2 linked regions of the Schizosaccharomyces pombe genome follow. The gene in region 1 interacts genetically with each later gene. Each region holds a gene or a part of one and is shown on either strand. Other genes may lie near its edges.

Region 1 (5,924 bases):
TCGTTCAATGCTTTGATTATGGGTCTGTAATTGTACCAAACAGTGTAATAAGAATCCCTAGCATGTTACTATAAATATCTAGTATTCGTTGCAAGATGCTCATTGTGTAACACACTTTTATAAGTTCTACAGGATGTGGAAATGAGCGGATAATTATTGTCCTGCGTAGTACTAATACTTAACTATAGCTAACCATTTTAAACGTTGCTGGTTATGCAATTAGAATTACACTATGGCTATCAATGTGTTTCCTGTTTCAATAATTTGGATTTTTTAAGCTCGTCGAATAAACAAAGCTGCCATAAAGTACAGCGAAGTCATCAACAAAAAAGTTATGGATTATTGTACTTTTCATGCACAGCAAAAATATTTAAAGATGTTTAAATATATATAAATATTATGAACGTAGACAATGCTTGCAAGTTTAAATAAACTTTAAAAAATCGACTTCTATAGCATTTGCCTACATATGTCACTTGTTTACGTTTTGACATTTCTCCTTATTAACCCACCATTCCACCACAATTGTAAAAATTATTATCAAATTTATATATTTCTTTACCGCTAGAATTCAATTTTACAAGAAAATTTTATCCCTTGCTTATAAAGACTCTGTGAATTAAAAAAAAGTCTCGTTTCCTTAGAAAATTTGTTTTTCCGTTGAATAAGGCGCTTTCAGTATTACTTGCCATTGGAAAGTGGTAGAATGTTTAATTAATGGTTTTTTTTTTGTTAATATTTATCTATTTAACCCAATTTTTTTCATTTAATACACCACTTCAGACGAATGGCTTCTAACCCTAATGCCGTTGAACAAGAAATTCTACAAGCTGTCAATTCGGCTCAAACTACCGATAAACGGAAAGCTCATGAGCAATCATTAGCATATCTTCCGGTGGAGGAAGAAAGAGGAGTTAATGTTGTTGGCTCAAAGATGAAACCCCGCTACATTGCTTTGACTTGTGATGATGTGACTCGTATTTTTTATATACACAGATTGAAAGTAAATGATAAAGGCGGAATGACAGTCGTGAAATCCTGGCCTTTATTTGAGTTGCAGAATATTACTGTAATTAATGATCATGATGTTACTATGACAATAAACAAGCCACATTTGTTGCGAACTCAGGACACTTCTGCTCGCGATCGATTTGTTTTTTCTGTTGCTAAAAATTATATGTACTATATGGGCAGGCCGCTTTCAGTGACTACGACTGATGGCCGCAAAGTGGACTGGGCCTATCGTAATTCCTTTGCTGATAACAAACCTAATCTCTATCCTGCAAAGAGCCTAGCTATTCCTAAAGCAAGGTCATCATTACCTGAAAATTCTTCAGAACAAGTTTCCTCATCTTTTAACTCTCGAGTCGCACATAACCGTAATTTTTCGGACGGCCCAATTGTTACCAATTTAGAAACGGATCAGCCTCGCATCGAGAAGAAGCTCACTATTGATTCTTCTCGATCAGCCAAAAAGAAGTTGAGTGTTGAAAAAGAAAGACGGTTTTCTGACAATAAGCCTTCTTCCAACGTTTCCCGGGGGACCCCATCATCTGCCCATAGTGATGTTATAGAAATTTCAAGTTCTTCTGCCATTGCAAGGACTTCAGGAGACCGAAAAGATGATGTCTTATTCGATACTTCAACTCAAAGACGAGATAATCAAACACGGGAAATGTTTATTCAAGAACAAGCTCAATTGTTTCCATCTAAACCTTCTTTACGTAAAACTACTCGTCGTGAACAAGCACCCTCATTTAACAGTGGAACGAGTTCTTCGGAAAGGGGTAAGAATAGCATCAGTGGTTCTTACGAGAAAAATACAGCTTTGGCACTAGAAGCTGGTAAGTATAATATGTCTCAAAAAGACGTGAAACTAAGCTCTTCTTTGGAGTCAAACACATTTGCTAGCGATTTTAGTAAAGTGGATCGTGATGCTACCCAGGCAGCTTTATCTTCTAGCTTAGAAACTCCTTCAGTATTAACGTCATCTTACAAGCCTTCCAGTTCGTCTAAAGTATCAGCAAAGTCTGTTTCTCGAAAACCAACAGGAGCACCGGCTATTCCTAAATTACCTCCAAAGCACCCGTCCCGTCAGCCAACTGTTCGGGCAACTCCTTCGACTGGTAAACAAATCGAACCACCAAACGACGAGCCTTCTATAGGAAATGAACTTCTTCCCCTTTTTGAAAGTTTGCGCTTTGAAAATAGAAAAACCACTTCCAAGCCAAAAGCCAAGAAAACTCTTGTTACTTCCATTCCGACTAAACCGCACCAAGCTTCTGTTGAAAAAGTTTACGATCTTAACTCAAAAATCAACCTCAAAAACATTCCGGAGCAAAGCATTTCTCGTCTTTCCACTTTGAAGTGGAATGAAGGTACAACTATAAAAGATGTATTGAAACAAACAGAATTTTCGTTTGATGGAGCTATCATAAGCAGTGTGGAAAACCTTGCTGAAGAAGAAATCGAATTGCAAAACATTAAGAGCCAACTTCAAGATTGTGCTTTAGGTTGTGAGTCTATCAATTCAACCATCAACTTATTTTCCCTAGAGTTGTCTACTGCATTAAATGGCGTCATTAATATAGAGCAACAACCAAGCCGTAGATGATACAAATGCTTCACGACAAATATCGAAAGATTAAAATACTTATTTATTTGAACTAAACGGAATCCAGATGATGAGAGTTATCTAATAGACGCTTTTGAGGTAGAGGAATAAGTATATTTTCTTTAAGTAAAAGGTTAGATATCTGCTCTTCTCCGAGATATGGCGTCCATCTTAGAAGTTTTGGATTTACTCTTTGAGGGTGTTTGATATTCCAAGCTTTATAAACATTCTCAAGTTCATCCCGTTTCAGTTGTAATACATATTTCTTTTTGAGCGGATCATACTTAAATACAGATAACGATTCCAATGTGGATATAACATCGTCGCATACCATAGATGTTGATTTGGCGATAGCATTTATGCTAATCGGTGTTGTGATTTCCAATAGAGCTTTGGCTACTCTCATTTTCCAATAGCTTCGGTACGTAACGAGGCCTAAATCTGAAAGTGGCTTTTCAGGTGATCCAAGCTTACCTTCTACCTGTGTAAGTAAATAACTAAAATCAATCAAAAAGACACCATATCCTCGGCGTTGGTAAATGGGTAATGTTAATATACAGGAAACGTTATAATCAGAAGCCGAGCGTTTCTCTTTACTGAAATATCCAATAACTTTGCATTCTTGGCCATCAAATTCAGTCAATACATAGAAAAGAAACGGTTCAACGTCATAGTACAGCATTTTTGAATGAAGAAACATCTTTGCTAGAAGACATAAATTTTGACAATATATCTAAGGAAAAACATCAATAAGTATAAAATGCATAAAAAATTACTTACCGGTTGCCGTTGACCATCAACTTCAAAAATTGATATATTCTTATCCCGATATATTTCATCTCCTGGTGGATAACTCCATGAGCATTTCATCTGATTATGTTAGTCCGTAAATTCAATTTGGATAGATTATGATCTTTTAATGTACACCTCGTTTAAACTCAAGCAATAGCGAATAACATTATGATCTTACTTGAAAAGTTGTTTACCTTGTGCCTTTGTAGTACATGATCACTGTTCATATACTTTAAACAAGATTCGCATATATATAAATTTTTTGCACAGCTATACTCCTCTGGATACGGTGATGTATACCATGGTTTTATCCGGTAAGTACCAAAATAGAGGTATCGAATGGAGGTTGGTTGTGGTGGAGGCGTTCGCAACTGTGTAGATAAAATAGGATCGGAAAATGAATAAGCCACATCCTTTGTCCTATCTGCTACTGTCTTTGCTTTTTCAAACAGCCTCACATCGTCTTGGTTGAGTCTCGTAATCGATGTGTCAGCTTGCCCTTTAGTTAATAGACCCAAAAAAGTACTTTCCGAATTTAACTCTAATAAATGTTTCTTATAAAATGGATATCTGGAGGAGTTTGTATCAAACTTTATTATTAACAAAGTCTTTGAACTGGCTGTGGATTTCAAAATAGTCGCCGGCATTATACATAAAAAAAAAAGATTGTTTATATTTACAGATCGTTCATAGTTTTCCTAATGGCCCCATTTAATCCTTTGGTCAATATAATTGAGTTGGTGGTAGTGCCCTCATTCTCTTCTTAGTTCTTGCTTTACTTCCACCTCCATCCGATCTCTGCAAAGATAACCCTTTCACTCTTGTTAAATAAAAAACTACTCATATTTTTTACTTTTGTATTCTGAAACAGTAACCATTCATAACTTCACTGTTAGCTTTTTGATTGAATGCCATTACAAACGTTGCGTATAAATACTACAAAGTCACCTTGGGTGATTCAACGATAAGTTTTACATTAGTAGTTTTAATGCCACTTTAATTATTCTCTAATTTCGACTTTATTTTCAAGTAATGTAATGATGATAAATGCAGAAATTTTTTAAATATGAACACGTAGAAAAGTAAAAAAAATATCATGTAAAGGGTGAGTACACTAAATTAAGTGTAAGAATGCAAAGGAAGCAGCATCAGAACTATATGAAATTGTTACCATAATTTTCTAATTTTAAAAAAGCAGAAGCAAAGGACAAGCTAATTCTATTCAGTAGCAAAACTGGAAAATCCTCTGAAACACTCTTGTTGTTGTCGTGTGAGAACAGTATTGACAGGTGTCAAAGTTGGACATGCACCTAATCGATCGTTAGTAATTAACCATATTTTAACAATTGTCATACTTGTAAATTCTTCATCAAAATTATTGAGGTCTCGGGGATCGTTGATAAGCGGTTTATATGATGGTTCATAAAGTTTGTTATACAAGTCATCCCAGACAATACTAGCAAAGAAAGGATGAGCCATAACCTCGTTTGCGTCTTTTGGTCCACTACCAAGTCGTTGATTTGGATCTCTTGTTAAAAGCTATTTTTTGAATTAGTTAACATATTTAGAAATTTGCATACCCCTCTCAATAACGAAACCGCATCCGCTGGCATATTAATCGGAAACAACGGTTCATCGCTTAAAATCGCATCGAATATTTCCTCTTCATCTTCACCTTTGAAAGGGGATTGACCCAGTAACATTTGATACATCAAAACGCCAAAAGCCCACCAATCAACATCCTTGGAATATTGCTGTTCTAATAAAATCTATTTTCGTTAGATAAAATAAACCAAAACAAGTTCCGCCTTACTTCTGGAGCCATGAATTCGGGGGTACCACAAAAGGTGGAAGTTGTATTGCCAAGCAACATATTTTCTTTGCAGAGTCCATAATCAGCAATTCGTATATGACCATCAGGACAAAGTAGAATATTATCCAATTTCAAATCACGGTAAGCAATTCCATTCTCATGAAAATACTTCAATGCTAAACAAACCTCAGCACCATAAAATCTATGGGGTTAATAAAAAATAAAAATAAAAATAAAAATAAAGATTGAAGTACTACCTTGCACGTTTCACGCTAAACTGTTGACGTTGAATATGAACCATAAGGTCACCACCAAGAATATATTCCATAACGAAGTAAACCCTGGTACTAGTTTGAAAGCTTGCAAAAAGATTCAGCAAGAACGGATGTTTTTCTTTATTCGCGACTTCGAAAACATGCTTTTCAGTTTTTAAACTCTCTAGTTCCTCATTCTTTAAAATGGCTTCTTTTTTCAGAACTTTGATGGCATAAAACTTTTTATTCACTTTATATTCAGCCAACATAACCTTGCCAAAATTGCCTTTCCCTAATACAGCCAAAAATGTGAAGTCGTCAAGCGTAACACGATTCTTTTTCTCTCTGCGTGGACTTTCTGGAACACTTCTATTAGCATCCTTGGAAGACGATAAGCTAGCACTGGAAGGTGGAGCAAGAACAGAAGCTGGAGTAGGAGTAGAAGAGGAAG
Region 2 (5,450 bases), on another chromosome or scaffold:
TGCAGGCTCCAACCCATTCACAAAGCTAACTTTCCTTCCTTTGGCAAATTGCAACAACTCAGAAGGAGTCAAGTTCACCTTTCTACTAGGCTTTGATACTGCACGTATGTAGTGAAGAACCGGTTTTCCCTCAAAGTACTTTAAACCCAACCATAGACGGCGGGTCGCTACATTTTGCCTAGTGGTGATTGTGGGTAAAGCATCGGGTCCATGAATATCTCCGCGTTGAATCGAGCTTAAAAATCCTTGATGATACAAAACAGCACATAACTCGAGCACACTGTTACAGTTAGGAACGCTTGCTAACGACTTGCGAGCGCGAAATGAATTTTGCAAATGCGAAAAAACATAATGCAATTGCATTTCGACTTTTTTAACACAATCCTAATCTTTTATAAGCAGTCCAACAATAAAAGCCTTTTTTTTCTATACAGAATGGTGTTTTGAGGAAAGAAAAGAGGTATGAATGCAGTTTAGCTAGTCACTTCCAAATACCTCTCTCTGTACTGGAAGAATAGTAAGTAGTGAACGGTGTAGCTAGTGTTACACACTATTAGCAAGTTAATGGACATTGCAGTAATCACTGGATAGTAGTATATTAACGACACGATACTAAAGTTCACAATAAATCACTATATAATAAACTAAAAGCACCGGTTTACTATGTTTGGAAAACAAGGCGCAAAATTGCAAAACCAACGGTTATTACGGCAAAAGCCGTCTACCAAATGTTAGAGATTTACTTTGTACAGAATAAAATATGGATCTAAATCGCTGTGTCAATCTGTTAATATTATAGCATTCAAATTACCATGAAACCCACAAAGTTGTCAGAAGTGGGAAGCGAATTTTTGTGCGTTTAGTAGTTCCAAAATCCTCGAAAGGTATTCGCAAATGTAATAATCGAAAAAATTATAATAAGCAGTGTTCAAAAAAACAAGCGGTACAACAGCGAACGCCTGTAAAATATAGGGATGTAAAAAAGCATTTGAATACAATGTAAATTCACAATTGTATAGGATTATAAAAATTTTTTATAAAATAATGGCATAACGAATTCTTTACTGATATTTTAATTACAGAAAAGAAAACGTGAATTGAAAACAAAAGCCTAACAGTATGGAGAACGATTTATAATGCTTCTTTATGTGGCCGATCGTCCAGAAATTACTGATTTACTCAGTATAATATATTGATTTAATTAAGTTTCGCTTCTTAAAAAGGTTGTTAGTTTCGGTAAGCTGTTTAACGAGTATTACACAAAGCACAAGGCATTTTAATTTCATAAAAAAATGTCCGTTTTAATTTGAAAGACGTTCGAAATCAACACTTTTCAAAAATCAGTGCAATTACCGAAATCATTTACTTGAAAGTTGCCAGATTAATATTCTCAAAAGCAGGTTGTAAAAATGTATTATAACTATAAAGAGGATTTCAAGCAAGCAAATATAACAAGAAAAAGAAAACAAGTAGTAATCATTGATTTTGAACCTCCCGGTATTGTTAATATAGAACTAGTAAACAAATAGTAATTCAATGTACTATAATTTTCGTCAATGGTTACAAATAACAATTGGGTTCACTTTTATTGAATCACAACCACGATATAAAGAAAGAAGGGTTAAAACTCAAAAATCCGTCGATTTGGAACCTTTAAAAAAACATAAACCTATACAAAATTATGCGGTAATTTAAGAAAAGCTGTTAAAGATAAGCTTATATTTCTTATGTTCAGAAATTAAATAAGACTTATGTTGCGTTTGCGTGCTCAGAGAAGTATAGAAATAGACCTTAGTATATAGAAAATTCGAATGTATTAAGCATGTAAATAACAAAGTGATAAATAAAATATTTTCTTGATAGTTTTTTGATTTAATATAGTTTATAACTCAAGTAGGTTTTATATACAAGACAACTATGATGAGTCCTAATCTAGGGTTTGGTATATATAAGCTTCCAACCGCCAAAGCGAATTGTCTTCAGCCAACTCGTCCTTTATGATTCAGAGTGAGTAGGATGTCGTATAAACCAAGCTCAGAAATAGCTTTACGTCCCGGTTATGGAGGGTTGGGCAAGCAGATTACTTTGAAAGCTAACTTTTTTCAAATCATTTCTTTACCTAACGAGACTATCAACCAGTATCATGTAAGTTCCTAGAAATCGCACATTTTTATGGAATTAGAGCACTGTAAAGGAAATTTACACATTTAAAGTAAAAGCATAACAGAACACGTGGCCTTTCTTGTCTGAAATATAAATATAAATACAGAAATAAATCGTGCAAGTGTTACTGGAATTGTTTAAAGGTACTTGTTAGCTTCATTCGTTATTCGACTTTACTTTACTATACCTGGTTTATTTTCTCACTTTCTTTTAATGTTCTGTTGTTTACTTTGCCTGCTACATCATTTTGTATCTGTCTTGCATTGCACGATTCTTTTCTTTTGTATTTCATCTCTTCCTCAAATTTTGTACATTAACGTAGAATTGCATCAAATTAACGCCTTTTGTTGTAGGTCATAGTAGGTGATGGTTCACGTGTCCCACGAAAGCAATCCCAGTTGATTTGGAATTCTAAAGAAGTTAAACAGTATTTTGGATCTTCCTGGATGAATTCTGTTTATGATGGGCGAAGCATGTGTTGGTCTAAAGGTGATATTGCTGATGGCACCATCAAGGTAAACATAGGCAGTGAGTCGCACCCTCGAGAAATTGAATTCTCTATTCAAAAATCATCTAAAATTAATTTGCATACTCTTAGCCAGTTTGTAAACTCAAAGTATTCTTCGGATCCGCAAGTTCTAAGCAGTATAATGTTTCTGGATTTGCTGTTAAAGAAGAAACCATCTGAGACTTTGTTTGGCTTCATGCATTCTTTTTTTACAGGTGAAAACGGAGTTTCACTTGGAGGTGGAGTAGAGGCTTGGAAAGGGTTTTACCAGTCTATACGACCGAATCAGGGTTTCATGTCTGTTAATGTAGATATATCTTCGAGTGCATTTTGGCGTAATGATTCTTTACTTCAGATCCTTATGGAATACACAGATTGCTCGAACGTTAGAGACTTAACACGTTTTGACCTAAAACGTCTTTCCCGCAAGTTTCGGTTTCTAAAGGTGACCTGTCAGCATCGCAATAATGTCGGTACTGACCTGGCGAATAGAGTTTATTCCATCGAGGGATTTTCCTCAAAAAGTGCCAGTGATAGCTTTTTTGTTCGCCGTCTTAATGGTGAAGAGCAAAAAATCTCTGTAGCTGAATACTTTCTTGAAAATCACAATGTTCGTTTGCAATATCCTAACCTACCTTGCATATTAGTAAAGAACGGGGCGATGCTTCCTATTGAATTCTGTTTTGTTGTAAAAGGTCAGAGATATACTGCAAAACTGAATAGTGATCAAACTGCCAACATGATCCGTTTTGCGGTCCAACGACCTTTCGAACGTGTCCAGCAAATCGATGATTTTGTCCATCAGATGGATTGGGATACAGATCCCTACCTAACCCAATATGGTATGAAAATTCAGAAAAAGATGCTCGAAGTTCCAGCTCGTGTTTTAGAAACTCCTTCTATTCGTTACGGAGGAGATTGCATTGAGCGTCCCGTTAGTGGACGTTGGAATTTACGTGGTAAACGGTTCCTTGATCCGCCGAGGGCTCCTATTAGATCTTGGGCTGTAATGTGTTTTACTTCAACGCGTAGACTCCCTATGAGGGGTATTGAAAATTTCCTGCAAACATATGTACAAACACTCACTTCGTTGGGAATTAATTTTGTTATGAAAAAACCTCCAGTTTTGTATGCAGATATTAGAGGGAGTGTTGAAGAACTATGTATAACGTTATATAAAAAAGCTGAACAGGTTGGTAATGCTCCTCCTGACTATCTCTTTTTTATTTTGGATAAAAATTCGCCTGAACCATATGGTTCCATTAAACGTGTTTGCAATACTATGTTAGGGGTTCCTTCTCAATGTGCTATTAGCAAACATATTTTACAAAGCAAGCCCCAATACTGTGCAAACTTAGGCATGAAGATTAATGTCAAGGTTGGAGGAATTAATTGCTCGTTGATACCCAAATCCAACCCTTTGGGAAATGTTCCTACTCTTATTCTTGGTGGAGATGTTTATCACCCTGGGGTTGGTGCAACAGGTGTTTCGATTGCTTCAATTGTGGCATCGGTAGACCTAAATGGCTGCAAGTATACGGCTGTTTCACGTTCCCAACCTCGTCATCAAGAAGTGATTGAAGGAATGAAGGATATCGTGGTATATCTATTGCAAGGGTTTAGGGCAATGACTAAACAACAACCACAACGTATTATCTATTTCCGTGACGGTACCTCGGAAGGACAATTTTTATCAGTAATAAACGATGAGCTTTCTCAGATTAAAGAAGCGTGTCATAGTCTATCACCAAAATACAATCCAAAGATTCTAGTATGCACAACGCAGAAGAGACATCACGCTCGTTTCTTCATTAAGAACAAATCCGACGGAGATAGAAATGGAAATCCCCTCCCTGGTACAATTATTGAAAAGCATGTTACTCACCCCTATCAGTACGATTTTTACCTTATATCCCACCCATCTCTGCAAGGCGTTTCGGTCCCAGTTCACTACACGGTTTTGCACGACGAAATTCAGATGCCACCGGACCAATTCCAAACACTGTGTTATAATCTTTGTTATGTTTATGCAAGAGCAACAAGTGCTGTTTCCTTGGTTCCACCTGTTTATTATGCGCATTTGGTTAGTAACTTAGCCCGTTATCAAGACGTGACAGCCGATGATACTTTTGTTGAGACATCAGAAGCATCAATGGATCAAGAAGTAAAGCCGCTTTTAGCTCTATCAAGTAAATTGAAAACAAAGATGTGGTATATGTAATGTTTGATGGATTGCATGCAATAAGTAATGAAATAGATATACGATTGACTACTGGATTGCCCACAACTTTTACTTCCTTATTAAATCTGCTTCTGTTTTTATTTTGCTTTATATTATTGTAATTTTCTTTAATCATTTAATGTTAGTTTTTTTATGCTCTATCCACTGTTGATAGCTTGACCATGTTCCAACGATCAACAAATGTTGATAACGATAATACTAATGACATTCACTTAACCCAAAGCCCGAACTTTATGTAAGTGTCACGCCAATATAGAAATACAGATAAACTAAATGATACTTAAGGATCTCAGAAGAAGTGATTAAAATCGATAAATTCCATGCACAATGGTTGAACAACCAATTTACCTATTTGTCTAATTCAGATTCATCTAGCTTTTTTATTAAGAAAAAACATCATTCAAAGCAAAATCATTCAAATTTGAAAACAGCCTGTTTGAAGAGAATCAGAATTTCTAATTTTTTAGAGTATTTGGGTTAAGTTCAAGAACCAAACATTGCATACTGTGTTAAGATTTCGTTTAGAGGAGCAAAAAC

Evidence for each region.
Region 2: of mst2 (region 1) and ago1, changing one suppresses a phenotype caused by changing the other (phenotypic suppression), as found in Schizosaccharomyces pombe (4 studies listed by BioGRID, with this or other methods).

Annotation. Positions count from the first base shown.
Region 1 is NC_003424.3:2,362,781-2,368,704, forward strand, and holds mst2 (histone acetyltransferase Mst2), read right to left. Parts: upstream 4,155-5,924; 5' UTR 4,054-4,154; coding exon 3,601-4,053; exon of another isoform or gene 3,485-3,600; coding exon 3,395-3,484; exon of another isoform or gene 3,348-3,394; coding exon 2,667-3,347; 3' UTR 2,615-2,666; coding exon of another isoform or gene 788-2,614; 3' UTR 719-787; downstream 1-718. Other genes in the region: exocyst complex subunit Sec3, read left to right, coding at 788-2,614; protein kinase C (PKC)-like Pck1, read right to left, coding at 4,625-4,716, 4,762-4,945, 4,987-5,175, 5,220-5,421, 5,477-5,924. UniProt on the Schizosaccharomyces pombe protein: Component of the mst2 complex which is a highly specific H3 lysine 14 (H3K14) acetyltransferase that functions together with gcn5 to regulate global levels of H3K14 acetylation (H3K14ac), critical for DNA damage checkpoint activation.
Region 2 is NC_003421.2:332,121-337,570, forward strand, and holds ago1 (argonaute), read left to right. Parts: upstream 1-1,958; 5' UTR 1,959-2,016; coding exon 2,017-2,145; intron 2,146-2,351; exon of another isoform or gene 2,352-2,516; coding exon 2,517-4,892; 3' UTR 4,893-4,950; downstream 4,951-5,450. Other genes in the region: mrps8 (mitochondrial 37S ribosomal protein uS8m), read right to left, coding at 1-363. UniProt on the Schizosaccharomyces pombe protein: Required for G1 arrest and mating in response to nitrogen starvation. Ago1 regulation of cytokinesis and cell cycle checkpoints occurs downstream of dcr1. Required, indirectly, for regulated hyperphosphorylation of cdc2.